Linked DNA regions of Elephas maximus indicus. The protein of the gene in region 1 purifies or fractionates together with the protein of each later gene. This does not show direct contact. Links are inferred from orthologs where the notes say so. Each region holds a gene or a part of one and is shown in the gene's direction. Other genes may lie near its edges.

Region 1 (7,815 bases):
GTCATTTGTGGCACATACTGGGGGAGACAGGGCAGGGGTGGGGGGCGGTGCAGGACATGTTTCAGGAGACAGTACCTGTGCTACTCGGGGATGTAATGCTCAGTGCATGGTGCAGATAGGCAGGAGAGAGGGGAGAGGATGTGATGTGTGGAGCTAAGTGGGTGTGGGAAAGAAGAGAAAGAGGAGAAAGACAAGCCAAAAAAAAATGCTAAGGGAGCCTGCCGTTGGAGTGGCACAGACCCAGGGAAGCTGTGTGCCATTGGCTTCGTAGCCAGGCAATGTGGCACAGCCCATCAAGAAGGGACAGATATGGCACAGACAGCTAGGTGGGCAGGAGAAAGGAAAGGAAGGAAGGGAGAGAGAGATAAGAAACTAGATTTTAAAAAAGAGAGAGAGAAAGGCACACATGGCCAGGTGGTCAGGAGAAAGGAAAGGAATGATGATAGAGAGAGACAAGAAACCAAGAGAAAAAAAGAAAACATCAGGTGGTTGGGAGGAAGAAGAAGGAAGGTAGAGAGAGACAAGAAACTGAGAAAAAAAAAAGCCCCAAGGGAGTCCACCAGAAGTGGGTCCCCAGCTGAGCAGCACTGCACAGCCCATCAAGAAGGAGCAGAGATGGCACACAGTACCAGGTGTTCAGGAGAAGGGTAAGGGAGGTAGAGAGAGACAAGAAACCAAGAAGAGAAAAAAGAAAGAAAGAAACACCCCAAGGGAGCCCACTGATGTGGTGGTGCACACCAGGAAAGGGGATCTCTAGCCAAGAGGCACTGAACAGCTCATCAAGAAGGAGCAGAAATGGCACACGGCACCAGATGTCTAGGAGAATGGAAAAAAAGGGAGGTAGAAAGAGACAAGGAACCAAGAAAAGAAAAAAAATGCCCCAAGGGAGCCCTCTAGTTTGTTGGCATGGACCAGGGAAGGGGTTCCTTGTCCAAGTGGTGTTGCACAGCCCATTTAGAAGGAGCAGAAATGGCACAAAAGCCATGTGTTCTGGAGAAAGGAAAGGAAAGGAGAGAGAGAAAAAAATGCAAAAGAAGCCCCCAAAACCAAGAACAGCAACAAAAAAATGGCACTGAAAGAGCTGGCTGGTGTGGGCAGGGCAAGTACAAGCAGCAAGAAGCCGGCATCTCCCCAGCCAAGCAACTGCAGCCTGCCAGGAAGCAGCAGAGGTAGAGCAGAGGGAAGAAGGGAGGGGAGTGGGAAAGCATGTATTGCTGGGTACCAGGTGCTCTGTCTCCTGCTGGGAGCTTCTCGTGCCTTCCAGTACTCCCTGTCTGCCATTCTTCGTAGTTCAGGGGTCCAAGATGGCAAATTTGCGCCACGTTAGCGATAGGGGACCTCCACTGTGTAGCTCTCGTCACTCTTTGTTCTCTGCCAGTTTCTTATTTCATTCAGGGCATGGTTCAGCTCTTTATTCCTTCACTTGATGCTTAGGGTTCTGGGATTGATGTTTGTCTCTGTTTTACTTAGTTTTTCAGGTCTTTGCTGTGTAGGGACAGCATGGTGCTTCTGTCTTTAGCACCATGGTGGCTCCCTGGATGTTGAAATGTTGTTTTTGATAATGACTGCAACGCTATTCCTCTTCAAGTTCCCAGCATAGTAGGCTATATGACTGTCCTATTCAAAACGTCCAATATTAGTCCATTTCAGTTCGCTAATGCCTATAATATCAATGTTTACGTGCTCCATTTCATTTGTGATGATTTTCAAATTTCCTAGATTATACTTCATACATTCCAGGTTCCAACTATTAACAGATGTTTGCAGCTGTTTCTTCTCATTTTGAGTCATGCCACATCAGCAAATGAAGGTCCCAAAAGCTTGACTCCATCCATGTCATTAAGGTTGACTCTACTTTGAAGAGGCAGTTCCCTACTTGTATTTTGAGTGCCTTCCAACCTGAGGGTTCATCTTCTAGCACTATATCAGACAATGTTCTGCTGCTATTCATAAGGCTTTCACTGGCTAATTCTTTTCAGAAGTAGACTGCTGGGGCCTCCTTCCTGTCTTAGTCTGGAAGTTCAGCTGAAACCTGTCCGCGATGGGTGACCCTGCTGGTGGCATAGCTCCCAGCATCATAGCAACATGCAAGTCCCCACAGTACAACAAATTGACAGATGTGTGGGGTGAGGGGGAGCACACATAGCATAAGCTTAAAAAACACCAAAACCCATTGTTGTAAAGTCGATTCTGACTCATAGCAACCCTACAGTCCACTGCCAAAAGACTGGCAGTAGGTACAGTCCCATTTAAGCCCCTCATCCATGGCACAAAGTGGGGTGTGCAAGGAAGAGTTGTCATTTCTGCCCAGACAGCTTTTGAGGTGTGATTGTTCGTGATTGAACTTTTCCTGTTGTATGCTGTCTGATTCTTGTAAGGAATAATAGCCACTTTTTATGTGCTAGTGTGTGTTCAAGCTCTGATCGAAAGGATGTAATGTTTATGAAGCAATCTGTATTAGTTATTGGTGCCCTTTTCCTAATGGCCTCCTGGCTACCTAGAAATTGAGTGCAACCTGTGAGCGCTACACAAATGTGGAGCATTGTCATACAGTTATGGTGTGTTTGAGCAGGACATGTTGTCCTACAACAGGACAGAAGCTGTATCATAATATAGTTTTTTTTTTAATAATTTTTTTTTGAGTTTTTGGTCAAAGTTTATGCAGCAAGTTAGGTTTCCATTTGATAATTTCCACACATTGTTCAGTGACATTAGTTACATTTACTACAATATATCTAAAGAGAACATGCTCTAATTGTCTTCTGTTTATACATTTCTGGTACTCTGTATTTTGTGTGCCACTCTGCTATTTTGCTAAAAGGTGATCTCAGAATAGGCTCAGTTCTAGGTTTAAAGAATGTCTCAGGGCAATAGTCTCAAGGAGCCCTCTGCTGTTTTAGTAGGTCTGACTTTTTTGTTTTAATAAGAATTTGAGTTCTGCTCCATTTTTTCTCCCATTCTATCCAGGACCAAGTATTATAACCCTGATCAGGTCAGTGGTGGTAGCCCAGCACCATCTAGTTCTTCTGGTCTCTAGTTAGATGAGGTTGTGGCTTATGTAGACTTGTTTCCTCTCTGAGCTTTTGGTTGCCTTACTATTCTGCTCCTGGTGAGCAGAGACTGCAGTTATATCTTAGATGGCCACTTGCAGGCTTTTAAGTCCCCAGATGCTACTCACCTCACTAGGGTGCAGATCATGATTTTTGTGAACTCTGTTACACCAATTAACTGAGTTGTTCCATGAGGTTATGGTTCTAAGCCTTCAAAGAATATGGGTTATTCTGAAGTAGCTCCTCTACCCTAGGCACCCGAGTTCTCATCAATGGGGCTGCAAAACTTTCTATTCTCCTTTAGTGGGCTCTCTCATTCATTCACCTATATCCAACCAGTCATCAGTCTATATTAACTTTTCCTTTAAAAATACGTTTTAGCCTTTCTTTCTTCTTTTACGAGGGTCAACATCCTAGTCTAGGCCCAACTCAGCTCACTCTTGGATAAATACAAGACCCTTGTGCTTTTCCAACTAAAATTCAAACCCATTGCCATTGAGTCAATTCTGCCTTATGGTGACCCCATTTGTTAAACTGTTCTATAGGGTTTGTTTGGTTGCAATCTTTATGCAAGCAGATAGCTAGGCCTTTTGTCCACAGTGCCACTGGAGAGGTTCAAGCTGTTAGGTTAGGCATCCAGCACAAACAGTTTGGGCTACCCAGGGACTCCTCCTTCCTACTAGACACTGTGAAACGTCTATTCTCCTCTCCACCAACCCTCCCCTGCTCCTCATCCATTTATTCACTGTCACACAAACAAGAAAAGCTTATTAGTTCCCCGTGCTCACACCATACCTCTTAGCTCCAAATGCTTTCTTCCTCCTTCTCACCTTGCCAGCAGTGACTTGCCTTCGCACACTCTTCTAACAGAGTAAATACAGTACTTAATTGTTTTGGACACTTTCCATTTCACCTGTGTCAGCCTCCCAAGCACATCTATACACAATTAAAGCTCCCTAACAGCATGCACCCAATTTCCACTTTGGTAACCCCCTCCATGGCCAAAAGCAAGAGAGGAGGCACCCTAAACCAGTCCTTCCTGATTGCCTAGTGAATTTTAATTTGGATTTGTTGAGTTTAGAATCATATCCTATCTCCCAAAAAAACCCCATGGAGCGGTTCTACTCTGTACCACAAGGGGCTGCCATGGGTCGGAGTACACTCAACTGCAATGGTTTTATTATTATTGACCCCCAAGTATTCTTGAGAAACACTGGTAGCGTAGTGGTTAAGAGCTACGGCTGCTAACCAAAAGGTTGGCAGCTCCAATCCACCAGGCGCTCCTTGGAAACCGTATGGGGCAGTTGTACTCTGTCCTATAGTGTCGCTATGAGTCAGAATCAACTCCACGGCAACGGGTTAAGTATTCTTGAGTTTCTTGCAGCGTATATGCTTTGTGGTCCATTTGGAAAGCAAAGACAACATAAAAATAAGCATTCAAGGTGATGTTAAAAAATGAATACATGGGGGAAAAATCACTAAAAAACCGCAGAATCCAACAATCTCTGTAAAGTGTTTAACACCTACGACGTACTTAATACGAGAACGATTGAACCCTGGACTGTCTCCGAGTTACTCAAAATATTTCCAGTCAGACTCTCCCTCCAGTACCAGCCAGACTAAACAGTCATTAGCTAAGTCTCAGATCCTCCTCCTCTTCCTCGTCCCGCAAATTCTTCCCGATCCCACCCCTTCCAAGAACGCAGCCATGTGATTGGCCACGACGAGTCCTCGAGCAGCCCAATCGCGCACGAGCAGCTGCTTAAGCGTCCCTTTGCGTGAGGGACAAACATGGCGGACCGGCTAACGCAGCTTCAGGACGCCGTGAACTCGGTGAGGAATTTCATTCGATTAGTCTCTGTCTCTTTTTTGGGGTAAACCAAGAGAAGACAGGGGTCCTGAAAGACAAAGCGCGGAAGCAGAGAGCGGACTGAGTTAGGTCTGAGCAGAAAGCGCTCGGGGCGGTGGGAAGCCCCGTCGGGAACCCTGGGAGGTCTGAGGCCGCCCGTCGGGCAGTGCGGAGAGATGCGAGAGCCTTTCTTTTGCTGGAGATTAAGGAGAAGTGGACGCTCTCTCCTTTCTCCTGCACTGCAGCCTGAGTCTTAGGTTTCACAGTCCTGTCATGTTCTCGTTGAGAAGATTTTTATTTTCTTGTTAGTGGTGGTTATCGGCTGTCTTCTTTTGGGGGTGGGGAAGGGGAGAAGCAGAATTTTGTTCGTTTTGTACTGATCAGTTCTAACCACTCGAGGCGAGCCCCCACGGTTGATGATTGGATCTTTAATTAAAAGTTAGCCGAAAGGATTTCTGCAGTAACTTTTAGGTTGGAGTCGGGGAAGGGGGCGTGACAGGGGTTGGGAGTGATGGTGAAGTCGTTTGTGTTTTTTCTAGTTCTTTTCTAAACGCCAAAGGTCTTGTTCTATCTCTTGTCCACTCCTCATCATAGATTAAAAAAAAAAAATAGGTAGTTAATCGAACGGGGGGGTGAGAAGATGGAGCCAGTATGAACGTTCAGCATTGTATTTTAAGTGAAGGCTGGGTGCATTACCAATTTAAAAAAAAGAAAATGAGATGTACGTATGAACTTCAAGGTATTTTTCACAGCTATAAATATAGAGTTACACATATCACAGTAGCGATATGTAATGAACCTTTGAGGTCTATTTAAGATTCACCTGTTTGAAGGTTTTTCATAAATAAAATAGGAACGCTTGGAAAAGGAAAAATCAGTCATAAATAACCCTTCTGGAGTAGAAGAAGGCCATTGGCCCATTGCCAATGACGAATGCATCTTTTGATGGTGAAATAACATTCTTGCAGAAAAGTGTGGGTGTAAAGTTTAATGAACAGTTACAAAGTGAACACCTGTGAAACATTAATGAGGTGAAGAAATACATCATTACCAACATCCCAGAAATGCTTTCTCCCTCTCTTGATCTCAGTACTACCCTGACTTTTGTGATAATCTACTTGCTTTTCTTTGTTGTTTTATCATTTATGCGTGCATGCCTAAATAACAGTTTAATTTTTTTTTGAATTGTATATATATATAAATGTATTCTTTTGTGATTGGCTTCTTTCACCCAACATTTTGTGTGCGTAATAATGTGGCATTCATTTTCATAGCTTTAAAGTATTTCATTTTATTAACATGCTGTAATTGCCACTGCTTTTTTTTTTTTTTTTTTAATATTTTGTTGTGTTTCAGTGAAGGTTTACACAGCAGTTTCAGGTTCCCATTCAACAATTTCTACACCGATTGTTCAGTGACATTGGTTACTTTTTTCACAATGCGTGAGCATTCTCATTATTTCCATTCTGGTTGTTCCATTTTTGTTACAATTTTTTTTTTTTAATTTTATTTTGCTTTAGGTGGAAGTTTACAGCTCAAGTTCATTTCTCATTCAAAAATTTATACACATATTGTTTTGTGTCATTGGTTGGAATCCCACAATGTGACAGCACACTCCCCTTTTCCACCTCGGGTTCCCTGTGTCCATCCCTTCAGTTCCTGTCCCTTTCTGCCTTTTCTTCTTGCTTTTGGGCAGGGGTTGCCCATTTGGTCTCGAATATTTGATTGAACTAAGGAGCACGTTCCTCGTGTATGTTATTGTTTGTTTTATAGGCCTATCTAATCTTTGTCTGAAAAGTGGGCTTTGGGAATGGTTTCAGTTCTGAGCAGAGTATCTGGGAGCCATAGTCTTGGGGGTTCCTCCAGTTCTGTCAAACCAGTAACTCTGGACTTTTTTATGCATTTCAATTATATTTTAATTTTTTCTCCCATTCTGTTTGGGACTCTCAGTTGTGATCCCTGTCAGGGTGGTCAGTGGTGGTAACCGGGCACTGTCTAGTTCTTCTGGGCTCAGACTGTTGGAGCTCTGGGTCATGTGGTCCTTTAGTCCTTTGGGCTAATATTTTCCTTTGTCTTTGGTTTTCACGAAATGGGACCAACAGATGTATCTCAGATGGCTGCTCGCAAAATTTTAAGACCCCTGATGCTACCCACCAAAGTGATGTAGGGCATTTTCTTTATGAATTATGTTTTGCAAATTGGCCAAGATGTCCCCTGAGACTGTGGTCCCCAACCCCAGCAACTTGGTCCCTCAAGGTGTTTGGATGTGTCTAGGAAACTTCTGTGCCTTTGCTTTGGTCATGTTGTGCTGACTTCCTCTATATTGTATGTTGTCCTTCCCTTCAACAAAGTTGACACTTGTCTACTATCTAGTTTATGATTCCATGCCCCCCCCCCCACCGCCTTCTTGAGCATTTGGATTGTGTCTAGTTTATAGAAATTAGGAACAATGCTCCTGTGAATGTTGATGCCTAGATGTCTCCTGGTACACAAGTGTGCACGGCAAGCAGTTAAGTTTCTTTTACTCCATATCTTTATCAACATTTGGTATTGTCAGTGTTCTTCATTTTAGTCTTTCTGATGGATGCATAAAAGTACCTTGTGTTTTAAATTTGCGTTTCCTTGATGACTAAGGTCGCTGTGAGTACCTTTTCCTGGGATTACTGGCCACTGGAGGAGCTCCTCTTTCTTCAAGTGCCTTTCAAATCTTTTGCCCATTTTTCTTAGTCTGTTATGGCCTGTTTATGATGTTTTTATAAATAGAAATTATTAATATGAATGTAGTAAAATTTATCAGTATTTTTCTTTGTTGGTTAGGCTTTTTTGTGTCTTAAGAAATTCTTTGTTACCCCAACATCATGAATGTATTTTCTTATAGCATTATCTAAAAAATATCTTTTGTCTTTTATGCTTAGA
Region 2 (7,050 bases), on another chromosome or scaffold:
GGAGTAAGCTGTCAGAAGTTTTGTTTCTCTTATACCAGACCTGTCTTCTGAGGCTCGTCTTTGCATGATTTATGTAAAGTATAATTAACACACGTACCGCACGGACAGCAAGGACAGCAATAACGAGAGCAGGCTTGGAGTCTGAGGGATCTAGGTTTGATCCTAGCTTTGCTACTTGTTAACTCAATGGTTTTGGGCTGGTTACTTCCCCTCTGAGCCTCATTTGAAAATCTGTAAAATGGGTACAATAGGACTATAACCCCTGACATGTATCTGCCCTGCCTCTACTCCTAGGCATTCTCTGCTCTGCAAATCTGATCGTGTCTCTGCCTTTTGCCAAAGGAATTTTCTCCCTTGCCTTAAGCTACATAAGTTAAGCTTTGAGAGGCCCACTGACCCGGGAGCTTGATGTTTATCCTCTGTGTTTATTTGGGTGAACCCAAGGGATTGGTCTCTGATCCAGACTGGAGAACTTTCAAAGTGAAGAACGGTGGCTTGCAGGATGCTTTCACGATGGGCAAGGAGAGAAGGTTGGTCAGGGAATGCCTTGCATTAAAGCATGTGTAGGCAAAGGTTACCTGTCTATTTCCTGCAGATTAAATATAAAGAGCAAATGAATACCAGCACACGATGGGACCCAACTGTGAGCGTCTCCTTACAGAATGCTGAAAACCGGCCTGTGGAGGGAGATATAGCAACTGGGGAGGGTTTGGTGCTGAGGTGTCTTTGTGGAGCCCTCGGATGTGACTCAAGAAAAGGGGCCAGCTTTTAAACACCTGTCAACATACAAAGCAGCCCTGGAGGGTCAGCTTCATACTTGGAGAATAACGCTTAATCACGGTTTATACTTCATTCTTTAGCTACATTTCGATCCTTTTCCCTTGCCAGTTATAAGAAACTTTCTCAGTTCCCTGAACTCCTCTCTTCTCGCTAGGCTGTGGACCAGCCTGAGACCTCCTCTCTGGGGATCCTCTGGCCTTCCTTGAGTAATTCCTGTTCCACGTAGACTTCTCCCGGCCCAGTGGGTCTTTAGCCAAGGTAGAAACATGATGCTTCTTATAGAACAGTAGCAAATGGGACTCCCTTTTATTCAGCAAGGTTTTGTGCCTATCTGCTGGACTAACCAGCACCATGATGGGAAAATCAAGCACAGCATAGAACACGGTGGTCTTCATGTTAAGTCCACCATGTTAAGCTGGCCTAAATTAGCTTAAAGACTAATTATGGACTGAAAAGAGAGAGGAGTAAGAGGGTGAGGTGGGGATGGGAAACCAAGACTATCCTTGTGTGACACATTTAAATGTTTGTCAATGAATGATGAGGTGTTAAGAGATGAGAAAGAAAATTAAGTGCTTAGAGTACTGAAAGGACTGAAAAATCACCTTGGGCCTGGGGAGCTTGGGGTAGTTTCAAAGAGGGGTCAAGATTCTGAGGACTATCACAAGGTAGATATTTGAAAATGGAGCACCCGGGAATCCCATATTTGGTACTACAAGCGAGAACTAACAGGATAGGAGGGAGGGTGAACTGGGCTAAGGGTGAAGGAGAAAAAGCTGGACTAGTAGGTGGGGATGGATTGTGATGACCTCAAATGCCCGGGTGCGGGAGCCAAATGCCCATGGGAAATCCATGTAGTGAAAGAATGATTTTGGAGGAAATGTCTCAGCTTATATTAGAGCTGGCTCTGAGGATACCACTACCTCCTGCATGTCTCTACCTTGTCCCTATAGCTGCTGGGACTGATGCCCACAGAATCTCTTGGGAAATAAGGGGGTTCAGTGAATAAGGCACCTTCAAAAATAGCCTTCATGATTGCTGTGACACAAATGACTTAGGATAATGGCATGGACTCAGAATCTGTCAGATGGTGCCTTAGGCCTCCTATCCCTGAATGAGACACCACCACAGCAGACAGGATGATAAAAGGGGTACTGGGTTACAAGATGTCCTGACCCATAAATCCCTCTTCAAGTCACGAGATCAAGACTGGCTTGGCAGGACGAGGGGCAAAGCTTCCAAGACCTTTTCCTTCAAAGCTTCTGGTGAACACAGAGTCAACTGTGAGGGGGACTTTCAATAGATAGCTTGATCCACCCGCCTGTTTCTTTGACAGAAACCCACTTTCCCTCTTCTGTTTTAATGCCACATGTGTCAGGGCATTAAGCAGAAGACTCTTCTAGTGCAAACACTTTCTTCTCGGCTTCTGGCTCATGGCTACAGAGCCTGTGGGTGTGGCAAGGGTGCCAGAGCCACCAGGGTCTTAGAAGGTGAGACGGTAGCAGGTGACGGTGCCTGGGGAAGAAGAGGACTTTAAATGCAAGTATTCCAACCATTTATTCACTTATCTCATTGTATTGTGTGCATTTCCTGCCGATTTCTCAGTTCTTTTGGGGATGAGGCTGTGTACCATAGTAAGCACAGGCTTTATGCGTTCTTAAAAAATAAACAGGTGTAGATGTGTTGGTGGATTAAGACCAAGAAGGGGAAGAGGACCCTGGAAAAACTTGCTGTAACTAAGACTTAGGTTCTCAAACAGCATATTTGAATGGGGCCTGTGACATGGCCAGAGATGCAAAGGGCAAGTGAGTCGTTGTTAGGTGCCCTTGAGTCGGTTCAGACTCATAGCGACCCTATATGACACAGTAGAACTGCCCGTAAGGTTTCCAAGCAGCGGCTGGTGGATTTCAACTGCCGACCTTTTGGTTAGCAGCCAAGCTCTTAACCACTATGTCGCCAGAGCTCCAAGTTAGAGCAAGTGAGTCAGTAGCCAGATATTTGGAAACCTCTCCAGGATGCGGGGTAAATTTATGCACAGGTGTGCCTGAAGCCTGAGTCTGAGCATTTTATAACACGAGTGCTAATTTCGCTTTGGGAGCCCCATGAAGCCTTCTATTTTGAGACTGAAGATGGTCCCTGGGAATGATAAAGAGCTCTCGCTCTTTATGCTGAGAGGGCCACAGAATCCATGTCAAACTATCTTAAGACAAGGGACAGAGCTAAGAATGGAGACTAAGAGGGAGACAGCTATCCCTGTCCTTCTTTCCAAATACCAGGGACACACTACTGACATTTTGATTTTAAAATAAATTCTTACAGGTAGATAAGGTTTTAAGGGAGTCCAAAGTGTTTCATTTGTGCAGCCTGGTGGAGGCTCTTGCCTAGAAATCTTAAGGAAGAATTCAGCTTCCATCTCCCTACAGGCTAGGGGTGTTTGAGTTGCAGCCCAGGGTGTCACCAAAATACCATTAGTGAAAGAATCAACCATCCATTCACCCACCCATCCATCATTTATCCCACCAACCAACATTTTTTTTTTTTTGAGCGCCCATCACGTGGCAGGTTCCATGCTGTGTGCTTGAGTTGCAACAAAGAATAAAACTGTCCTTACTACTGTATATCAATGTGTTGGAGATGGAGGAGACAGATGAAATAAGAATAGCAAAGCTTTGATAATTGTTGCAGCTGGGTGATGTGTACTTGGGGGTCCATTATACTCCTCCTTCGACTCTTTGGTATGATTTTTCCTAATAAAGTTACATAATAAACTGTTGATTGTCTGAAGAGAGCTAGAAAGAGAGATGGTATTAGTGGAGCAGAAGCCCCTGGGGCAGGGTGGGGAAGAGGTCAGGGAACAGCTCTTGGCAGAGGATAATCCTGCCTCTGGAAACCCTTGATCAGATTGTTAGGAACTCAGAAACTACAAAGGCTTCAGGTGCGGGTTGGGAAGTGTCATGGGTCAGGAGGAACTAGCTGTCACCACATCGCTGTCTCTTCACTTACCCCACTTTTCCTTCCTCTTTGCTAAAAGTCAGATATTCAGATTCAACCAACATTTCCAGAGCACCAACTATGAGCTGAGCTCTGTACAAAGGCCTCAGTTAGATTATGCCTGCACCATTTTTACAGAGGAGGGAACTTTGAGCAAGTCACTTGACCTCCCCGAGCTGACTCAATTTCTCCCTCTACGGAAAAGGTACAGTAAAACCTTGTAAGGTTGTTGTAAGGATCAGAGACCCTGACTGTGAAGATCACGGCCCCGAGCGAGGGCTCCATAAATGGCAGCCATCATTCTTCTGGACCAAGTGCGGGCGCATCCTCCGGGGCGCGTCTCCCGCAGGGTCCCCCGGGACAGGCCGGGCCCGCCCCCGCCGCGCCCACGGCAGGTGGCCCAGCATCTCGGTGCCCACGCCTGGAAGTGAGCGGGGAGCGCGGGCGGGTTGGATGACCAAGGTCTTCCCTGGAGGATCAGCCGTCCCTCCCTCCAGGCGCGCGGCGCAGGTGAGGTTTCCGGCCCAGGCCACAGGGACGGCGACCTTTAGAGAGGTCGCGGCCGAGGGCGCAGACCGCGGCCGGGAAGGGGGTGCTAGGGGCTCCCTTCCCCCGCCCAGGTTCGCCCCAGGGCCGGCTCCGGGGCCCGCGGGCTGCGCGCTCTGCGGCTGCGAAAACCCGGAGAGGCGGATCGGAGCGCGCTCCCCGCGCTCGCAGCCAACTCCTCCGCGGTCCGGCCGCCCACCTGGGCATGCTCAGTGCGGCCGCCGCGCCGCCGTCCGCCAACTAGGAAGCTCGCGCTCCCGGGCCTTGGGGGCCAGAACGCCGGCGGCGGCGAGCCGGCGTCGCCCGCCGCCCCCAAACACGGGCAAACTTCGCCGCGTCCCCGGAGCTCGCCCCGACGAGACGGAGCCCTGACGGAGCCAATCCAATCCACATCCCCAACCCCAGCCCGAATCCTGGAGGCTGCGGCTGCCGGAGCGCCCCCGCGGCCGGCCCTGCCCGCTAGCTGGTGACCAACAGGTAAACTGTTGGCCGGGGGGAGGGAGGTGAACTGTTGGGGGGCGCTGCGGCCGGGGGAGGGCGCGGGCTGGAGGAGCCCGAGACGCCCGCGGGCCGGCCGCCCCCGCCCGCGCTTACAGCCGCCCCTCCCCAGCCCTCCAGCCCCTGGAGGGGCAGCAAAGGGTTAAGTCGGCCCCGCGCCACCGTGAGCACGGCCCCCTCCAGCCGTCGCTGCCGCCGCGACCGCCAGCAGCGCGCCTCGGCGCCTGCCCGGAGCTGCCGAGGGGCACCCGAGCCGCGGATGCGCCAGCGGAGCCCGGCGGGCGTCCAGGAGGCACCGGCCGCGTCCCCGCCGCCCGCATCCCTCTCTCCCCCACCCACTCCAGGTCTTCTTTCCCCGCACCGGCCGGGTCGGCGCCCAGGAGGCGGGGGTCTGCGGCGGGGGAAGGGTCCCTGCGGAGGGAGAGGGGCGGGGGCGGGCCGCAGCCTCCTCCCGGGAGGGGAGAGTCACTCTCGCCTCGGGCGAGCACTTGACCACCCGCCTCGGCGTCCAGAAAAGTTTTTTTTTTCCTCCCGTGCCCCTCCCCCACTCCAGCCCGGCGCCCGGCTAGGGTGGGTTCGGGTCCATTGGTGAAAAAAGTCACACGTTCCCATCAGCTGCTCCTCCCCCTGGGGACAGGGTGGGGGGGCGGGAGGCGGGCGCCGCGCAGCTCCGGGCCGACCTCCAGTCCTGCGGCCGCCGGAGCCGTGCGCCCCGGAGCTGAGCGCCGCCGGTGCCCGCCGAGGCTGCCCCCATCAGTGCGCGTCTGCGTGTCGGGCAGCGGCTGCATCCAACCTGCTTTATTCCTGCCCGCAGCGCCACAGCCAGCGAGCGAGCGAGCGAGCGGGCGAGGAGGGGGAGCCAGGGAGCCTGTCTGCAAAGTGCTGCTCCCTGGTGCTCAGAGGCGGCTGCTCCAGCTCCAACTCTCATTCATTTCGCCGGTTAACATGAGAGATCATGGCCGCCTTCGGGCTTCTCAGCTATGAGCAGAGACCGCTGAAGCGCCCCCGGCTCGGGCCGCCCGACGTCTACCCGCAGGACCCCAAGCAGAAGGAGGTGAGGACGCCGGCGGCCTCGCCGGCACCCAGGGCCGCGCTCCGCAGCGCTGACCCGGGGCCAAGTGGGCTCAGCGGGCATCGCCGGGGCTACGGGGGAGGGCACGGGGAGGGGGCTGGTGGCGGAGGCCGGGCTGGGGGGCTGGGGGACCCCGGCGGCGGAGACCGTGCGCCAGTCAGCCCGCTGGTTCCACTGGGGCGCTCTGTCTCCCGGGGCCGGGTCGCTCCCCCGCTACCGGGCCTCGCACGGCTCTGCTGGGCGCTTCTCGGGGTTTTTCCTGGCCGGAACCCTCCTGTTCGCTCTCTCGCTTCTGCCTGCTTATTTTCCCCCCCGCTGCTTCGGTAAATCCTCGTAAACTTTTTGAAAAATGTTGGAATGCAGTTCATCCGACCCCGAGGTCTTGCGTTTTGCGCCAGCTGAGCAGGAAAGTGGGGGAGGAGGGGCTGGGGGAGGGGGTTTTCCTGCCTCAGAATTCCCAGTTTGGAATGGAAGTCGCTTTTATCGAGGTGATAAATATTTAGCTCTCTGAACGTACTTTTGTATCTCCTCTTCCCTTAAAAAAAAAAAAAAAATCAATATTGAAGAGAAACACTGATTTTCGTCCCTAGAGGCTGGAGCCTGTTTTGTATATGTAAGAGCAGGCGGGTTACCTTGGAAGGGACTAGGTCCCAGGATTCCTTATTTCTTTGAATGAAATTAATTGGAGAAACCTTGACTTTTGCACCAGATATCACTAGCTTCAATGGTTAGGGTAACCATGGCGTTTTGTAGCCGTGTGTGTGTTTGTCAGGAGTTCACAAGTAATTATGTAACTACTCTTCAGTTATAATGATTACCCTTGGCTACACAATTTGCCCAGGGACTTGCCGGTTTTTGTTTTTGTTTTTTCTTCTTTAGATCACCTGCTACCTAGTTTACTTTGAGAGTTTGCCAGCTGCAGCCCACCTCCTTCTCTGCTTTTTTTACCTAAACACAAACTGACCACATTTCAAAAACTTATCTTTCCGGGAATCTAAAACTCTCTATTAAAAGTTTATGGGGCCACTGACATCACAGAAAGGGCGTTGTACGTAAAGGAAGGAGGGAGACTTATAACTTCCCTCTTGATAAATCTGTTTCAGTAATAGAGGAAAAATGCTTGTTCTGGTTAAACAGTTTTGTGAATGTGTCTGGAAAAATGAGTG
Region 3 (7,984 bases), on another chromosome or scaffold:
AAATTTTTTGATGTTGTCTTTGAAAAATTAAAAAAATGCTAGAGGGCTTTGATTAATCTAATTTACTTTTTTTTGTATCTAACACTGCTCAAATGTAGATTCTTACTATATGCTTTCTCATGAAAATTCCACCTGCAGAATGGGAAGTTAGATGCTTTCCATTTAAAGTACGCTTTGGATACAGAGCAAGAGAAGTGAATTAAAAGTTGTAGAGGCCCCTCCCCCCCCTTTTTTTTAATTTTTAGTGTGCTTAAAGTGAAAGTTTACAAATCAAGTCAGTCTCTCATACAAAAATTTATATACACCTTGATATATACTCCTAGTTGCTCTCCCCCTAATGAGACAGCACACTCTTTCCACTCTCTATTTTCGTGTCCATTTGGTCAGCTTCTGACCCCCTCTGCCCTCTCATCTCCCATCCAGACAGGAGCTGCCCAAATAGTCTCAATATGTCTACTTGATCCAAGATGCTCGCTGCCCACTAGTATCATTTTCCATCCCACAGTCCAGTCCAATCCCTGTCTGAAGAGTTGGCTTTGGGAATGGTCTCTGTCTTGGGCTAACAGAAGGTCTGGGGACCATGACCTCTGGGGTCCTTCTAGTCTCAGTCAGAGCGTTAAGTATAGTCTTTTTACAAAAATTTGAGGTCTGCATCCTGCTGCTCTCCTGCTCCCTCAGGGGTTCTCTGTTGTGTTCCCTGTCAGGGCAGTCATTGGTTGTAGCTGGGCACCATCTAGTTCTTCTGGTCTCAGGCTGATGTAGTCTCTGGTTTATGTGGCCCTTTCTGTCTCTTGGGCTCACAATTACCTTGTATTTTGGTGTTCTTCTTTCTCCTTTGCTCCAAGTGGGTTGAGACCAGTTGATGCATCTTAGATGGCCACTTGCTAGCATTTAAGACCCCAGATGCCACTCTCCAAAGTGAGATGCAGAATGTTTTCTTAATAGATTTTATTATCCCAATTGGCTTAGGTGTCCTCTGAAACCGTGGTCCCCAAACCCCCGCCACTGCTATGCTGACCTTCAAAGCATTCAGTTTACTCAGGAAATTTCTTTGCTTTTGTGCTAACTGCTTTGCAGTTGTGCTAACCTCTCCTGTATTGTGTGTTGTCAAGAATGCCCTTTTACATTAATATATCATAAAGCAGTAAGTCTGTTTTTTTTTCTTTTTTCATCTAATCACTGAGCAGCAAGCTCTTTTGCATGCTGCAGAAGGTTTACCTTGAGAGGCAAGACTGAGGTAAGATGTTAAATGTTTTAAAATGACTGCCTACACCATTTATTATTAATCTTAAGATTCATTTCAACCTTTAGAGAAATCAATTAAATTAAACACCTTCTTATTAATTATAATTATGCAAGATATGTGCTGGGCACTGTAAGAGATAATTATTTTGTGACCCTGGTCAGAATGGTCAGTGGTGGTAGCTGGGCACCATCTAGATCTTCTGGTCTCAGGGTAGGTGAGGCCACGGCTCATGTTGACTATTAGCCTTGTAGTCTTATTTCTTCTCTGAGTCTCTATTTCCCTCTTTCCCTTTTGCTCTGGATGAGTAGAGACCAATAGTTGTATCTTAGATGGCCGCTTGCAAGCTTTTAAGACCCCAGATGCTACTCACTTCACTAGGATAAAGAACATGAACTTTGTGAACTATATTACATCAATTGACTGAGTTGAAAGATTTTTTTTAAGTGCATAAAATAAATAACTGAAGTATAAGATAATTGTGATGCTTCTAGATAAGTTACAAATAAAGTGTGATGGGGCTGGAACTGGGGGAGCGGTTCATGGGAAAGAAAGATCACATCTAGTTGCAGGGATCAGGAAAGTCTTCATGATAAAAGTTAAGCATTTGAGCTGTTCCCTGGTGGACTGCAAAGGTCTGAGACGATATGAGGAAGGGCATTCCAACCTTGGAGAATAGGACAGACAAAGGCATATCTGGCTTGAATATTAAGGACAATGTTAGGTAATGAAGGCCTGGGCTCATGGGTTTGGCAAACAGCAGAATGACTGTCTACTGGTACTGCTAATCACAGGAACTGAGAGATTCAGGGAATAGTATAGTATGTTCACTTGCAGAAATTTTAAGTTTGAGATGACAGCAGAATTTCCCCTTAGGCTGTATGGGAGGCAACTGAACTGTGGGGCTGGTGCTTGGGAGGCATGATAACACTGGAGATGTTCAATTTGGAATGTAAATAAAATCATATTTTAAGAAAAGAAGCACGAAAATTATTAGGCCATTGTTTGGAGTGTAGGCCAACGAAGCCATAGATTCTACAACATCAGTGGAGGTCATCATGGAGCAAATGGACATGTGAACTCAGTATGATCAGAGTTAGGAAATCAAACTGAAATCACAGCTCCATGTTCCTGATATGTTCAATTCATTCAAATAACAATAAAGTCTGAACTTCCATCCCTTGAACTACAGGAAGTGCATGCTAAAACCAGATTCCACTCTTCCAGTATCTGGAATGCTTACACATTCCATTAGTCCTTCCTGGCTCATTGCTTTGGCTCTGCAGGCTGTTGCTGCCCCTTCTCCTCCAAGTACAGACACAAGCCCCACAGCAAAGACCAGGCTGATAGCTTGGGTATAACAGAAGGGAATTACCATGAAGAAAAAAAAAAAAAAAAACCAATATGAGCTGTTACCACTTCTAACACATTGGCCCTGCTCCCCTGTAAGGGGCCCCCTAGTGGCAATCTTCCTTAGCTCCGCATCCTGATGCTGCCTTAAGGGGCCGGCTTACCTCATGTCACCATATTCTCCCACCCTGAAGTCCAGACTCCTAACTCTCACCCTAGCTTCAGAGAGAATAGCGGGCCCTTCTCTTTTCCCTGGGTGATGTGAATGGTTAGCGCACTTGGCTTCTAACTGAAAGGTTGGCCGTTTGAGTCCAACCTCAGGTGCCTCAGAAACCAAAGGCCTAGCAATCTACTTCTGAAAAATCAGCCACTGAAAGCCCTATGGAACACAGTTCAACTCTAACACACATGGGGTCACCATGAGTCAGAATCGACTCCACAGCAATCGGTTGGTTCTCTTCCCTAGTGCAAGGCCAGCTTCCGTTCCTGTCTCAGAGAACTGATAATCAGAACACTCAGTTACTTCAGGGAGAATTCTTACCTTCATCCACAGGATGGATAGGTACAAAATAGTACTCAAAAGTACATTTTAAAAGTCTGGGATCTTCAGTGCTCAGGAATATCATGTGTAGGTGGTGGGATGGGGGTGGGGCACCCAAGTATGGGGCCAAGCCCACTGCCATGCCTCTGCACCACCTTTCCTCCAATGTGGTGGGTTGGTTTCTCAAAATCTATGAGTGAATACTTGGACAAAAAGACACATCCCTCAAAAAACACAAAATAAATTTTCAGGAAGAGTCTAGTCTAAATTCATACTTAGGGAAAAGAATTAATTCTCCATGCAAAGGCACAGTCCTGCTAGAGAGTCACCCAAATTACATTACCGATCAAATGCATGTAATATCTCATTAACGGAAGCTTACATTTGCTGTGCATTTATTCTAAGTTGGGCCTTTTATATCTCCATTTTGCAAAGACACAAACTGAGGCTCAGAGTTAGTCCAAGGATACACTGCTAATCAATGGCAAGCAGGATTCAAACTCAGAGTCATCTAACCTGAGTCAGGGTACTTAAACACTAAATTATGTTTAATGGCTAAAGTAAAAACAACTTAAACCAATGGTGAGGTCATGATTTCCTCTGAGGAAATTTATATAAGACAAGGGTTCCTTTGAGGATTTTCACAAAATTGCATCATCATCATCTGTACACAGATATTTTTGACATAAACATGTTCATTCACTCATTAAGTCAACAAATGTTTACAGTGCACCATAGTCAAGGTATGATGCTAGGTGTTATGGAAGAGAAAAATATGACCCTCTACAAGAATTTATAATCTAGCAAGGGAGAGGGAATACAAGACAAAACAGAATTTGATGAGTACCACAGGACAGGTGGAAAAAATAAAGTGTTATGGGGGTTTAAAAGTGGGAGTGATCATATCGTTTGGACAGTGGTGAGCATTAGTGGAAATGGTAACAAATGGAAGCAAACAAACAAAAAAAGAATGTGCAAATGAGAGGGATAAGGCAATTTGAGGGATTATTGTCAAGATATTAGGGCTCCTCCAGGAGACACCTTTTCTACCTAAACATTATCAACAAATTAGTTTCCATTGATTTAGCTCCATGACTGTAATCTTATGGCTAAAACATCGGTGGTTCTACACGAAGGCCATACTCAACGTAACCTTCCTTCTGAATAGACCGGAACCATTCGCATGGGCAACTACCGCAAGAGTAACAGTATTTGGGTGTCGCATCACACTCCTCACTGATTGACTTTCCTCGAAGTCTGTAACATGTGTCACTTATGCGAATAGTACTGTGCAGACCTTACGGGAGAGTGACCGTCAAGTAGCACAAAATGTGATTCTAATACAAACTAGCCTCCCTGACACGTGAACTTCCTTGGCCAAGTTTATAGCCCAAATTAGACTCTAAGGATATTTAAAAAATAAAAAGTGCGCCGTAAAAAATAATAAAACATAATAAAAAGCGTTCCCTAAATAACTGAAAAGGAGCCCTGGTGGTGCACTGTTTAAGTGCTTGGCTACTAACTCAAAGTTTGGTGGTTCAAACCCACACAGCTGTTCTGCGGGAGAAAGATCTGGCGATCTGCTTCCATAAAGATTACAGTCTAGAAAACCCTATGGGACAATTCTACCCTGTCACATGCGGTCGCTAGGACTCGGGAACCACTGGACAGCACCCAACAACATGAATTAAAACTTCTCTCACCACGAACTACCGATCCCATCATTCACCACGCCCTCACATTGCCCCTGCGTGGGGCGGGGTCCTGGAAGGGGCGGTGACGGTGGCGCCGTGCGTTCTGGGCATTGTAGTCTGGGGCTCAGGCCAGCGCTCAGGACGGCCCACGTGCTGTGCTTGGCCGCCGCTCCGGCCAGTTGCTCCCTCGCTCTCTCCCCCTGTCACCGGGCGTCGGGCGCCGGGAGGGGCGGCGGGCCGCAGCTGGAGCGGGTGGTGGGAGGGCTCGAGGCAGCCTGAGCCTTCGCGACGTTTTTGCGACAACCGGGCCGTGTTCCGCAAGTCCCCTCCCTCCTCTTCTCTCTGAGGAGGTACCGGCTGTTGTACGGCCGCCGCTTTTCTGTGTGAGTGTATGGAGAGTGAGTGAGTGAGTGAGTGTGCGTGTGCGTGTGCGAGCGGGTGCGAAGAGTGAGTGCGTGTGTGCCAGGAGGAGAGGAGCGCCCGCCGCGGCAGCCCCGCGCTCCCTCCGCAGCCGGAGAAGAGGGAGACCGGCGCCCGGGGAGCCGCGGGGACGAGGGCAGCGACACCGCTCCCCACCCCTCCCCCAGCCTCGTCCCTCCGCTCTCCTCCGGCGGGGAGGCCTCCCCGTCCCCACCTTGCCCCGCTGTCCCCCTGGATGTCCCCGGGGCTGTCGCGGGGCCTCCTGCTGCTCCTGCGGCATCCGTCGGGCCGGTGCTGCCGCTGCCAGGTGTAGAGCGGGTGGGCTCCCGGGGGCTGCGGCTGCCCGTGCCTCCCCGTTCCCCACCGCTGCCACCCGGCCCCCCGGCCCCGCTCCCCGGCCTCCGAGGCTGTGACAATGGACTATGACTTTAAAGTGAAGCTGAGCAGCGAGCGGGAGCGGGTCGAGGACCTGTTTGAATACGAGGGCTGCAAAGTTGGCCGAGGCACTTATGGTCACGTCTACAAAGCCAAGAGGAAAGACGGGTGAGTGTGTGTGCGTGTCGCCCCAGGCCGAGGCGAGGAGCGCGAGGGCGGCCGCCGGTGCCGGCTCCCACTTCCTCGACCCCGCGTCGTCTGCTCCAGCCAGGTCGGGAGGAAGTGCTGTGCGAGGGATCTGCGGCCGCCAGAGACCCTGCGTGCTCCTCTGGGTGGCAGGGGCTGACCGGGAAGAACAGCCGTCGTCCGTGGGCTGTGTACTTTTCAGGGGCATCAGTGCGGGTTTTTTTTTTTTTTTTTAGTATTCGTTATGAAACGTCAGTTGAAATGATTTTTGGGGGGGGGGGTCGGTTTATTATGATAACCTTCTGAGGATTTCCTCACCCGCCTCTAGAGTGACATCCGTCACTCTGGAAGGAACGCAGTGGTCCTTTCCCTCATCGGTTTCATAATGGATTTATTACCACATTTAGATTTTATTGAGGGCAGAAAAGGCAGCAAGTGAATGTGGCTGTCAGGAGCTCCTCATAGTGATCATGTGCTCCATGAATGTAGGAATCCCTCTTTGGGTATCATTAACTGAGTTTGTACACGGAACAATGGGGGTTTGGTGCAGGGTGGGTGGTGGGGAAAGGCAAGTGACAAATAGGGGGTATGGTGTTAAGGCTGTTCGCCCAAAATTTAGCAGCTGGCATTGAACTTTAAGCAGTCCCTTTGCTTTAGACATTCTTCTCTAGAAGTAATTAAATCTATGACTGGTAATGTTTCTATTTAGTTTTAAAACGGGCAAGTGAAGTGTTCATTTTTCCTTTGTCAGTAGATGAATGTCTTGTAATATTGACAAAAGAGAAGACAGTATTTAGGTTGGGGAGAAAATATACTGGATTAACTCTTTGCTTTCCTTTTGCAAAAATGGATGTCGTTTCTGTTGCCTTTAACATGATAGAAATTTACGGGAAGATAAAATCAAAGCTTTGGATTTTATTAGAAGCAAAAGTAGCTTTACTGTTAGTTTGGTTAGCTGCTATTTACCATTTAAAATAATTGCTTTTTTTTATTTCAAATTAGTAGGGTATGTTCAGAACTATTTAGCACCAAAAAAGAAAAAAAAGAGTAACCATTCATAAAGCTGAAATAAGTTACCTTGGATAGGGGGAAAAGGCCATATTTGTACATACTTTAGTATTCTGAATATTAGAAAGGAAATGTATGTTCAGCTTTTTTTTTTTTTTAAGATTTACTTAGTTACCTTTCTAAAATAATTTAAGACGGACCCTAGGAAGAAAATGGTAATACTAATTAATTTGAAATGTGTATTTCAGTGCCTTTATGCAGCAGTAAAGCAGTACAGCTATCTCTGTTAAAGGTAGGAATTTGAAAACTTGATACTCCAGGTGCCACATGTATTTAAAAGTACTTTTTAGGGGAATGGATGGTCTGGTGACATTTGAGAAATCAGCTTCTGGAGATACTGCTGTGTCTTGTTGTCTAATTAGATTTCTCAGTAAGGTACTACTCTGTAATGACATATATTTTTAAATTATGCTTCCCATATAATATTTTTCAAAAGCTTTAAACCATCTCTTCATCCCCCAGTATTATGTAATTTTAAGCATATTCATAAAATCCCTAATCCCATGAGATTAGGCATTGTAGTACATTTGACCAGTCTGTCATCTGCTTGATAAAATTCTGATGACCTTTAATTATTTTTAAGCTCTCTGAAAGAAGCCAGTTTTGTTTTCATAAATTACCAATTTATGGTAATAAATATGCATATTTGTATTAACTTTGATTTTATATTTTATTGAAAAACTAGTATTGAGGTACTTTTAAGCACATTTTATATCTCATGATCAGAGTTTAATTTAGGTTTTAATAATTTGAGGAGAATTACACAATGGAAACCCTGGTGGTGTAGTGGTTAAGTGCTACGGCTGCTAACCAAAGGGTTGGCAGTTCGAATCCACCAGGCGCTCCTTGGAAACTCTATGGGCAGTCCTACTCTGTCCTATAGGGTTGCCATGAGTCGGAATTGACTTGACGGCACTGGGTTTTCACTGGGTACACAATTTAAACATAGCTCAATGTATAGTGTATAAACATTTCTTTGTCATTTCTGATAGCCAGAAAGTAGCTTGTGTTTTGGAAAAATTAATTTTTCATTCGCAGTCCTTTGGGCATGTTTTTAGCAACTTTAATGATTTTGTTTGTATGATGAACTTTTCTTTTAATGGATGA
Region 4 (7,146 bases), on another chromosome or scaffold:
GAGTTCCTTCTGACATCCATTTAGGTCTTTTCTTTCTCTCCTGTCTTTTTAATGACCACTTGCTTTCTTCATGTATGATGTCCATGACATCATTCCACAACTTGTCTGGTCTTTGGTCATTAGTGTTCAACACATCAAATCTATTCTTGAGATGGTCTCTAATTTCAGGGGTGATATATTCAAGGTCATACTTTGGCTTTTGTCGACTTGTTCTAAGTTTCTTCAGTTTCAGCTTGAACTTGCATGATGAGCAACTGATAGTCTGTTCCACAGTTGGCCCTTGGCCATGTTCTGACTGATGATATTTAGCTTTTCCATCGTCTCTTTCCACAGATGTAGCCCATTTGATTCCTGTGTATTCCACCTGGCGAGGTCCATGCGTATAGGTGCTATTTATGTATGTCAGTGAAAAAAGGTATTTGCAATGAAGTCATTGGTCTTGCAAAATTCCATCATGCGATCTCTGGCATCATTTCTATCACCAAGGCCATATTTCCCAACTACTGATCCTTCTTTGTTTACAACTTTCTTTTAGTCACCAGTAATTACAGTGCATCCTGATTGCATGTTTGATTAATTTCAGACCGCAGAAGTTGGTAAAAATCTTCAATTTCTTCGTCTTTGGCCTTAGTGGTTGGTGTGTAACAACTATTAATCAAATATGCACACCAACCACTAATCTCTAATAGTTACTCGCAAATCTACTACATCTAAATCTCTTATTTCTCTACTGAGCTCCAAACCTTACTTTCCAAGCTCCTGCTGCATTTTAAATTCAACATTTCCAAAAGTGAGATCACTTTATCTTCTTTCAGAAAATGTTCTCCTTGAGTTGCCTTTTTCTGTTCAGAGTATCATGTATTATTCTCTCAGAGGGGAGAACCTCAGCTGTCTTTGACACCTTACCCTCTCTCACCCTCACAATCAATCAGTCCCCTCTATTCTACTCAAAACATTCATGCAAGTGCTTACATGCTGCTAACTGGAGTAGAACAAAGTGGCTAAGAGCTCTGAAACCAGGCTGCACAGTGATTTCGTTTCCTCATCTACAAAGCGAATTTAGATTCTGGAGAGGCTAATGGGTTAACAGATGCAAAGCACTTAAAAAGACATTTGACATATAGTAAATACTCAAGAAATAAAACCAAGAAGGGTAAAAACCACAAAATTTACTTTATTTGGGGTTACAAAGGTGCCATAAACACAGATCAAAAGCAAATATATTAAATAAAATATCCTATTTTTGCTAAAAAAGAAAAAAGCAAGGGCTGCCCTCTGAACTGCTGAATAAGAGATTCTACAACAATATGCGATTACAAAGCTTTATGAGGTCCCCAAATCCAATTAAGATGCCTTGGATATAATCACAGGTTAGCACGACTAGATTGGGGTATCAAAAAAGAAAACTTTTGTATAAATAAACAGTATTATAAATGAAAGAAAGAGCATGTTCCTAGGAAGAAGATGGTCTTCCCTGTATTCATATGAACAACAACAAAAAAATCCCAAACCCACTGTCACTGAGTTGAGTCCTATCAGGGTGACCCCACGTGTTACAGAACAGAACTATTCTACAGAGTTTTCTTGGCTGCAATTTCTTTACAGAAGCAAATCACCAGGCCTTTCTTCCATGGTACCATTGGATGGGTTCAAACTGCCAACCTTTAGGTTAGGAGTCAAGCACAATCCATTTGCACTCCTCAGGGGCCTTGTACTCATAAGAAGGGGAGTACAAAGACACAAATTTGGCAGTGTGTCTCTAACACTGTGTCCCAGGAAAAAGTCGTCCCTGATCCACAAACGAGACCCATTTCCACTGTAAAGAATGATTTCTCAGACTATCACAGCTGGATGATATTCTACATCAATTGTCCCTGATCCACAAACAAGACCCATTTCCACTGTAAAGAATGATTTCTCAGACTATCACAGCTGGATGATATTCTACATCAAACTCGTTGCTGTTGAGTCGATTCTGACTCACGCTGACTCTATAGGACAGAGTAGAACTACTCCGTAGTTTCCAAGGCTGTCATCTTTACAGAAGCAGGCTGTCACATCTTTCTCCCGCAGAGCAGCTGGTTGGTTAACAGCTAAGCCCTCACCACTGCGCCACCAGGGCTCCTTCAGATTCTATGCACGTATACAAAATATTGCTTTGCTTAAAATCTGGTTTTCCACACACATTTGGCTCAATCAAGATAATTTGCTGGTCACCAAAAATGGGTGTCTAACCTGCGTGAGACTTGTATTACGTAAATTCATGATTTAAATGCCATTCTTAGTTCCTCTAGACCACAAGCAATCCTCGTTCCTACTGAAGAGTTTTACTTCTACTTCTACTATAGCACTTATTTCATTTATTCTGCCTCTTTATTGCTAGTAGTTTAGTATTTACCTCTTCTACCAGACTGCAAGGACCTTAAAACATATGAATATGCCTAATTCCTTTTTTGTCTTCCATAGTTTCTACTATACTTTGCTCTTAGTTGATACTTACACATTTGATAAATAAATAAATAAATAGATAATATCATCATGTGGTTTTCTCTTCCCAGTAAAAATGAAAAGTACACACAAAAATAGTACTTACCTTATTCTTTTCATTCTGGATAATTTCTAATAGCTGGTCTATATGCCCTTCATCTATGCACCTTTGCCCTGCTAACTGAAATAGGCCAAAATCTTCTTCTTTAAAGTCCTGTTCTTCTAGGATTTGCTGGCAAAAAAAAAAAAAAAAAACACATACAGAAATAAAAACTCAATACAATAACTACTTGATTTATTTTATCTCTGTGAAAAAAGAGAAACCTGTTTGAATTCCAGATGGGTTGCACATTAAGTATATGCACGAAAATCAGGATGATCCCAGTAAATATTCCCAATGAATGATCTCGAAATCTACTTTACCAAAGAAATCTATGAAAAGGATCAGCATTAAAATTAAGATTATTTAGATAAGTATGTCACTTGGAGACATAATTCAATTTGCCTTCCAGCCCTCATGCTATTTATTCACAGGTCAATAAAAGCAAGAATTACAGAAAATAAACAATGAGTGACCTCAAATGTAATTAAAAAGAAAAAATTACTTACACATCTTTTTATTATGGACTGAAGCTCCTCCACAGCCATTTCTAGTTTTTTCCCCTAGTTTTGATGCTGAAACGTACTAACACAAAACACACTGTTAACAGTGGCATTACACTGCAGTATTCGGAAGCTGTTCTATTCTGTTGCATTATTAAAAAAAAAAATAATATTAGCACACACAATTTAAAAAATGGAACGTTTCAAAGCTAAAAATGTTATTACTGAAAGTTAATGTGTTAGCTTTAAGAAAATTAAAAAAAAATTTTTTTAAAAGATGTTGCTTTTCTTTCTGTTGTATTTTTAAGTTTTCTAGGAGTATTATTTTGAAAGAGGAAAAAAACTCCTCTAGAGCACTCTTAAGAGATAGGGCAAATATGAACTCTATAAAGGATTTTTTAAATAAAGTGAAATTGTCTTTTTTGAAAAAATTCCCAAAAGATGGGCCTGAAATCCAAGTTATAATCATTTAGGAATTTTTTTTTTTAATGTCCCACCTGACAAAAATTTGAGAGCAACACATTTAACTCATTCAAATGGGGTGAAACTTCAGATGCCCTCCAGCCCAAGGGTTGGCGGTGACATTGCTCTCTAAGAGTTGCAGTCGCCAAGATAATCAATTTGGTCACTGTAATCACTTTATTACTTGGAGACCAGGCCACCGGCGGTCCCCGGAAGAACCGGTCTCATCGACCATCGTTTTTCCCAGCCGGAAGGCCCGGCCCCAGCCCTGCACTACCGGCGCGGGTCTGCGGGGTCCTCACAGCGGCGCGCTGGAGGGCGGATTAAACCGCTGCGCGCGTGCTGGTGGCATCCAAGGGAAGCCATTTCTCCCGATTCCTGCTGTCCTTGGCGTTCGGCCCCCATCACCTGGCGGGCCCGGTCTGCCCGCGGCGCCGGGCCCTACGCCCTCACTACCCACCCGCGGGCCCAGCGACCCGGGCTCCCCCCGCGCGTCCACTCACCCGCCCAGCCTCCGGCCGCTCTCAGTCCCCTCCTCCACTCCGCAGGCCGCGCAGCCTACTCCCCCGGCCCCGCCCCGCCTACGTGAGAGAGGCGGGGCCTCGGGGAGAGACGCCGACGCCCGCTCTCCGCTCTGACGACGCATTTCCATGGCTGACTGGGCCGGGCAGCTGTCTCCCGGCCGCAAGGCCCGGGCTCCCGGCGCCTCCCGTAAGGCCGCAGGTAGGAACAAGGGTCTTTTGCCACGTTTGGGCCCTAATACCTGAGCTCCGGCAGAGTTCCACACCAAGGCGCGCGGGGAGCTCCCGGAAGACTGACCCAGGGGAGAGGGTCTCCTATGGGGAGACCGTAGAGCTCCCCACCCTCGCCTTTGCACCTTCTGGGCAAGATCTCCCGGGCAGACTCCGACCCTTTTACAGGAGTGTGCCAAGATTTTTCCCGTCGTGGTTTGACCCCAGCCTCAGAGGTGGGCAAGTGCCCAGGGCAGCGACGGCAAGCCGTGCGCAGCAGACTTCGGACCCCGGCCCAGTGTGCTACAGAAGTGCGGCTGCTGTGGTGCCCTGATTCTCTGAGGTGTCAATCCCGACCCTTTTCCCCCGCCAGAGGGCCAACAGGAAGGAGACAGGAAAAGGTTGCTCCAAAACTCAGATTTTCAGAAGGGCGTAAGTAAGCTGTTCTGATGTTGTTGGGTGCCCTCAAGTCGATTTCCGCCCCTTTTGACAAAATAGAACTGCCTCCATAGGGTATTCTTGGCTGTAATCTTTACGGAAGCAAATTCACCCATGGAGAGGCTGGGTGGGTTCGAACTGTCAAGGTTAACAGCCAAGCGCTTAACGGTTGTCCCACCAGGACTCCTGCAACTCTGATACATGAGAAATCAAAAGAGATAACATTTTAACCAAGAAAAATTAGGGAATAATTAATTTACAAAAGTAAGTTGGATTCTCTTCCCATTTGATTTTGGTTTACGTACAGGATTAGAAATGAAATGTGTGGAAAAGATGGCCTGCGGTTTGAGTTATTTGGACAGGAATCTGTCCTGTGCCTAATGTCTTTGTGCAGACTTGACCTACTTTTTTTTTTTTTTTTTAATCGTAGGTACCAAACACACAAGTGCCTCCAAACAAGAAGATGCTTCCAAGAGGTACGAGAACTTCTTGGAGAACTGCATTCATTTATCTATCTCATATTAATTGAACCGTTTTTTGAAACCGTAATGGGTACTACCTTAGAGAAAGTTACTGTGAGAGGGAAGGTAGAAGTCTGGGAAGCACTATAAATTCTCACAGTGACTGTTTCAAACCAAACCAGAGATTTCTAGGCTGCTAATGAGTATCTGTAGAAAGAAGTCTGTGACAATAAACATGCCTGTATTAACCTGGTACTCCTTTTCCACCTCTTCAGGTACACTCACTCATTACTGCTATGCCAGAGACTTACTGTGCAACCTTCTCATTTTGTCACTCCAAGAAGCCTTTTCTGTTCTTTGTTTACATCCATTCCAGATTTTCATCAAAAAGTTGTCTTGTACTGTCTCTTGGCTTCTCCTAAAAAAGCAAAATATTATCACCTGTCTCAGAAGGTTTCTAGAATATGCATAGCCTATGAAGAGGATTAAAATATATATCTAGAATTTCTCACTTTATGAAGGCTCACTGATCTTGTATTGGCTTTAGTCTTAATTTATTCATTCATTCAAAAATTATCTACCAAGTGTAAAATATGTCAGATCTGTGTTAGGCCCTGAGGATATGATGTTGAACAGGGTAGACCTACCATACATAGTTCTTGTTTAGTGGAATAGAGAGACACCAATTAAATTATCACAAGGTATACTTATAAATTGTATACTTACAAATTGTGAGAAGTGTTATAAAGGAAAAGGCTATGATGTTATGAGGAAGAACTAATAATGGGAGTACATTTTAGCTGGGAGCTGGAGGGGAGAGTAGCTGTGGGGTTCAGGGAAAGGCTTCTCTGAAGAAGTAATAATTACACTGAGACCTGAAGGCTAAGTAGGAGTTAACCAGACAAAGACTAGTGACGAATGACTTACAGCCAGAGGTGACAATATGTGTGAAGACCCTGAAACAAGAAAGAGGTTGGCCAGTTCAAAGAAAAGAGACATGTTATCCTTTGGTTTGCGGAAACATTGTTTGCTGTCATGTGGTTTAGGCCTTCCTCACCTGCAGAGAGTCTGTGAGGACCAAAGAGTTGAACACAAACCCTGATGTGTGTTGGGGCCAGCGAGTTTGCAAGGTTCCCCCCAGCCTAGTTCTCAAGGGCCTAGCTTTCATTGACAATGTTGTGCTGACTTACCCCGTCTGGCACAAATCATATTTGAGTAATCATCCTTAAACCCACTGCTATTGAGTCGATTCTGACTTACAGCCACCCCATAGCGTTTCCAAGACTGTAAATCTCTGCGGAAGCAGACTGCGACATCTTTCTCCCTCGGAGCTGAGGGTGGCTTTGAACTGCCTACCTTTTGATTAGCAGTCGACCACTTTAACCACTGTGCCACCAGGGCTCTCAATCATTCTTAAAAGTGAGAGAAATTAAGTCTGTAAGTTGAAATGTAAAACTACGAAAGTGGCTCAAGAGAGGAAGGAGTGGATCTATTGGTTTTTATTTAGAATTATTCTAATCTTATGCATAATTTAGGAAACGCTGGTGGCGTAGTGGTTAAGTGCTATGGCTGCAAACCAAAAGGCCGGTAGTTAGAATCCGCCAGGCGCTCCTTGGAAACTATGGGGCAGTTCTACTCTGTCCTGTAGGGTCACTACGAGTCAGAATTTATTCGACGGCAATGGGTTTGGTTTTTTTAATGGGTTTATGCATAATTTTTATGTGAATTTTTTTGGAAGGGATAGTGTTTTCACTTTGTGCTACTTATTATTGGTCTTAGTAAAAAAAAAAAAAAGTTCTGCAGAGATTAAAAAAAAAAAAAGAGAGAGACAGAGAAAGAAAGGAGATGGCCAGAGTGATGTGCAGCATTCTGATCAAGGGAGGAAAGGCGTATAGGAAAAGGTTAGAGAGACGTAGGATCCTGTTCAGATAGTAGCTGGTAGGTGAGTAATCCAGATCTTTGTT

What was found.
Region 2: the proteins of MED21 (region 1) and MED12L purify together in Homo sapiens (affinity purification with mass spectrometry; 3 studies listed by BioGRID and IntAct, counting the BioPlex papers as one, with this or other methods). This does not show direct contact. The link is inferred for Elephas maximus indicus from reciprocal best matches to the Homo sapiens genes MED21 and MED12L.
Region 3: the proteins of MED21 (region 1) and CDK8 purify together in Homo sapiens (affinity purification with mass spectrometry; 14 studies listed by BioGRID and IntAct, counting the BioPlex papers as one, with this or other methods). This does not show direct contact. The link is inferred for Elephas maximus indicus from reciprocal best matches to the Homo sapiens genes MED21 and CDK8.
Region 4: the proteins of MED21 (region 1) and RPAP2 purify together in Homo sapiens (affinity purification with mass spectrometry; 3 studies listed by BioGRID and IntAct, with this or other methods). This does not show direct contact. The link is inferred for Elephas maximus indicus from reciprocal best matches to the Homo sapiens genes MED21 and RPAP2.

The regions. Positions count from the first base shown.
Region 1 is NC_064822.1:85,864,405-85,872,219, forward strand, and holds the start of MED21 (mediator of RNA polymerase II transcription subunit 21), read left to right. Parts: upstream 1-4,808; 5' UTR 4,809-4,841; coding exon 4,842-4,883; intron 4,884-7,815. UniProt on the Homo sapiens protein: Component of the Mediator complex, a coactivator involved in the regulated transcription of nearly all RNA polymerase II-dependent genes.
Region 2 is NC_064841.1:8,863,671-8,870,720, reverse strand, and holds the start of MED12L (mediator of RNA polymerase II transcription subunit 12-like protein), read left to right. Parts: upstream 1-4,040; 5' UTR 4,041-4,791; intron 4,792-5,626; 5' UTR 5,627-5,767; coding exon 5,768-5,866; intron 5,867-7,050. UniProt on the Homo sapiens protein: May be a component of the Mediator complex, a coactivator involved in the regulated transcription of nearly all RNA polymerase II-dependent genes.
Region 3 is NC_064841.1:58,013,644-58,021,627, forward strand, and holds the start of CDK8 (cyclin-dependent kinase 8), read left to right. Parts: upstream 1-4,973; 5' UTR 4,974-5,663; coding exon 5,664-5,791; intron 5,792-7,984.
Region 4 is NC_064821.1:149,946,511-149,953,656, reverse strand, and holds the start of RPAP2 (putative RNA polymerase II subunit B1 CTD phosphatase RPAP2), read left to right. Parts: upstream 1-4,142; 5' UTR 4,143-4,202; coding exon 4,203-4,275; intron 4,276-5,151; coding exon 5,152-5,197; intron 5,198-7,146. Other genes in the region: GLMN (glomulin), read right to left, coding at 2,594-2,719, 3,097-3,135.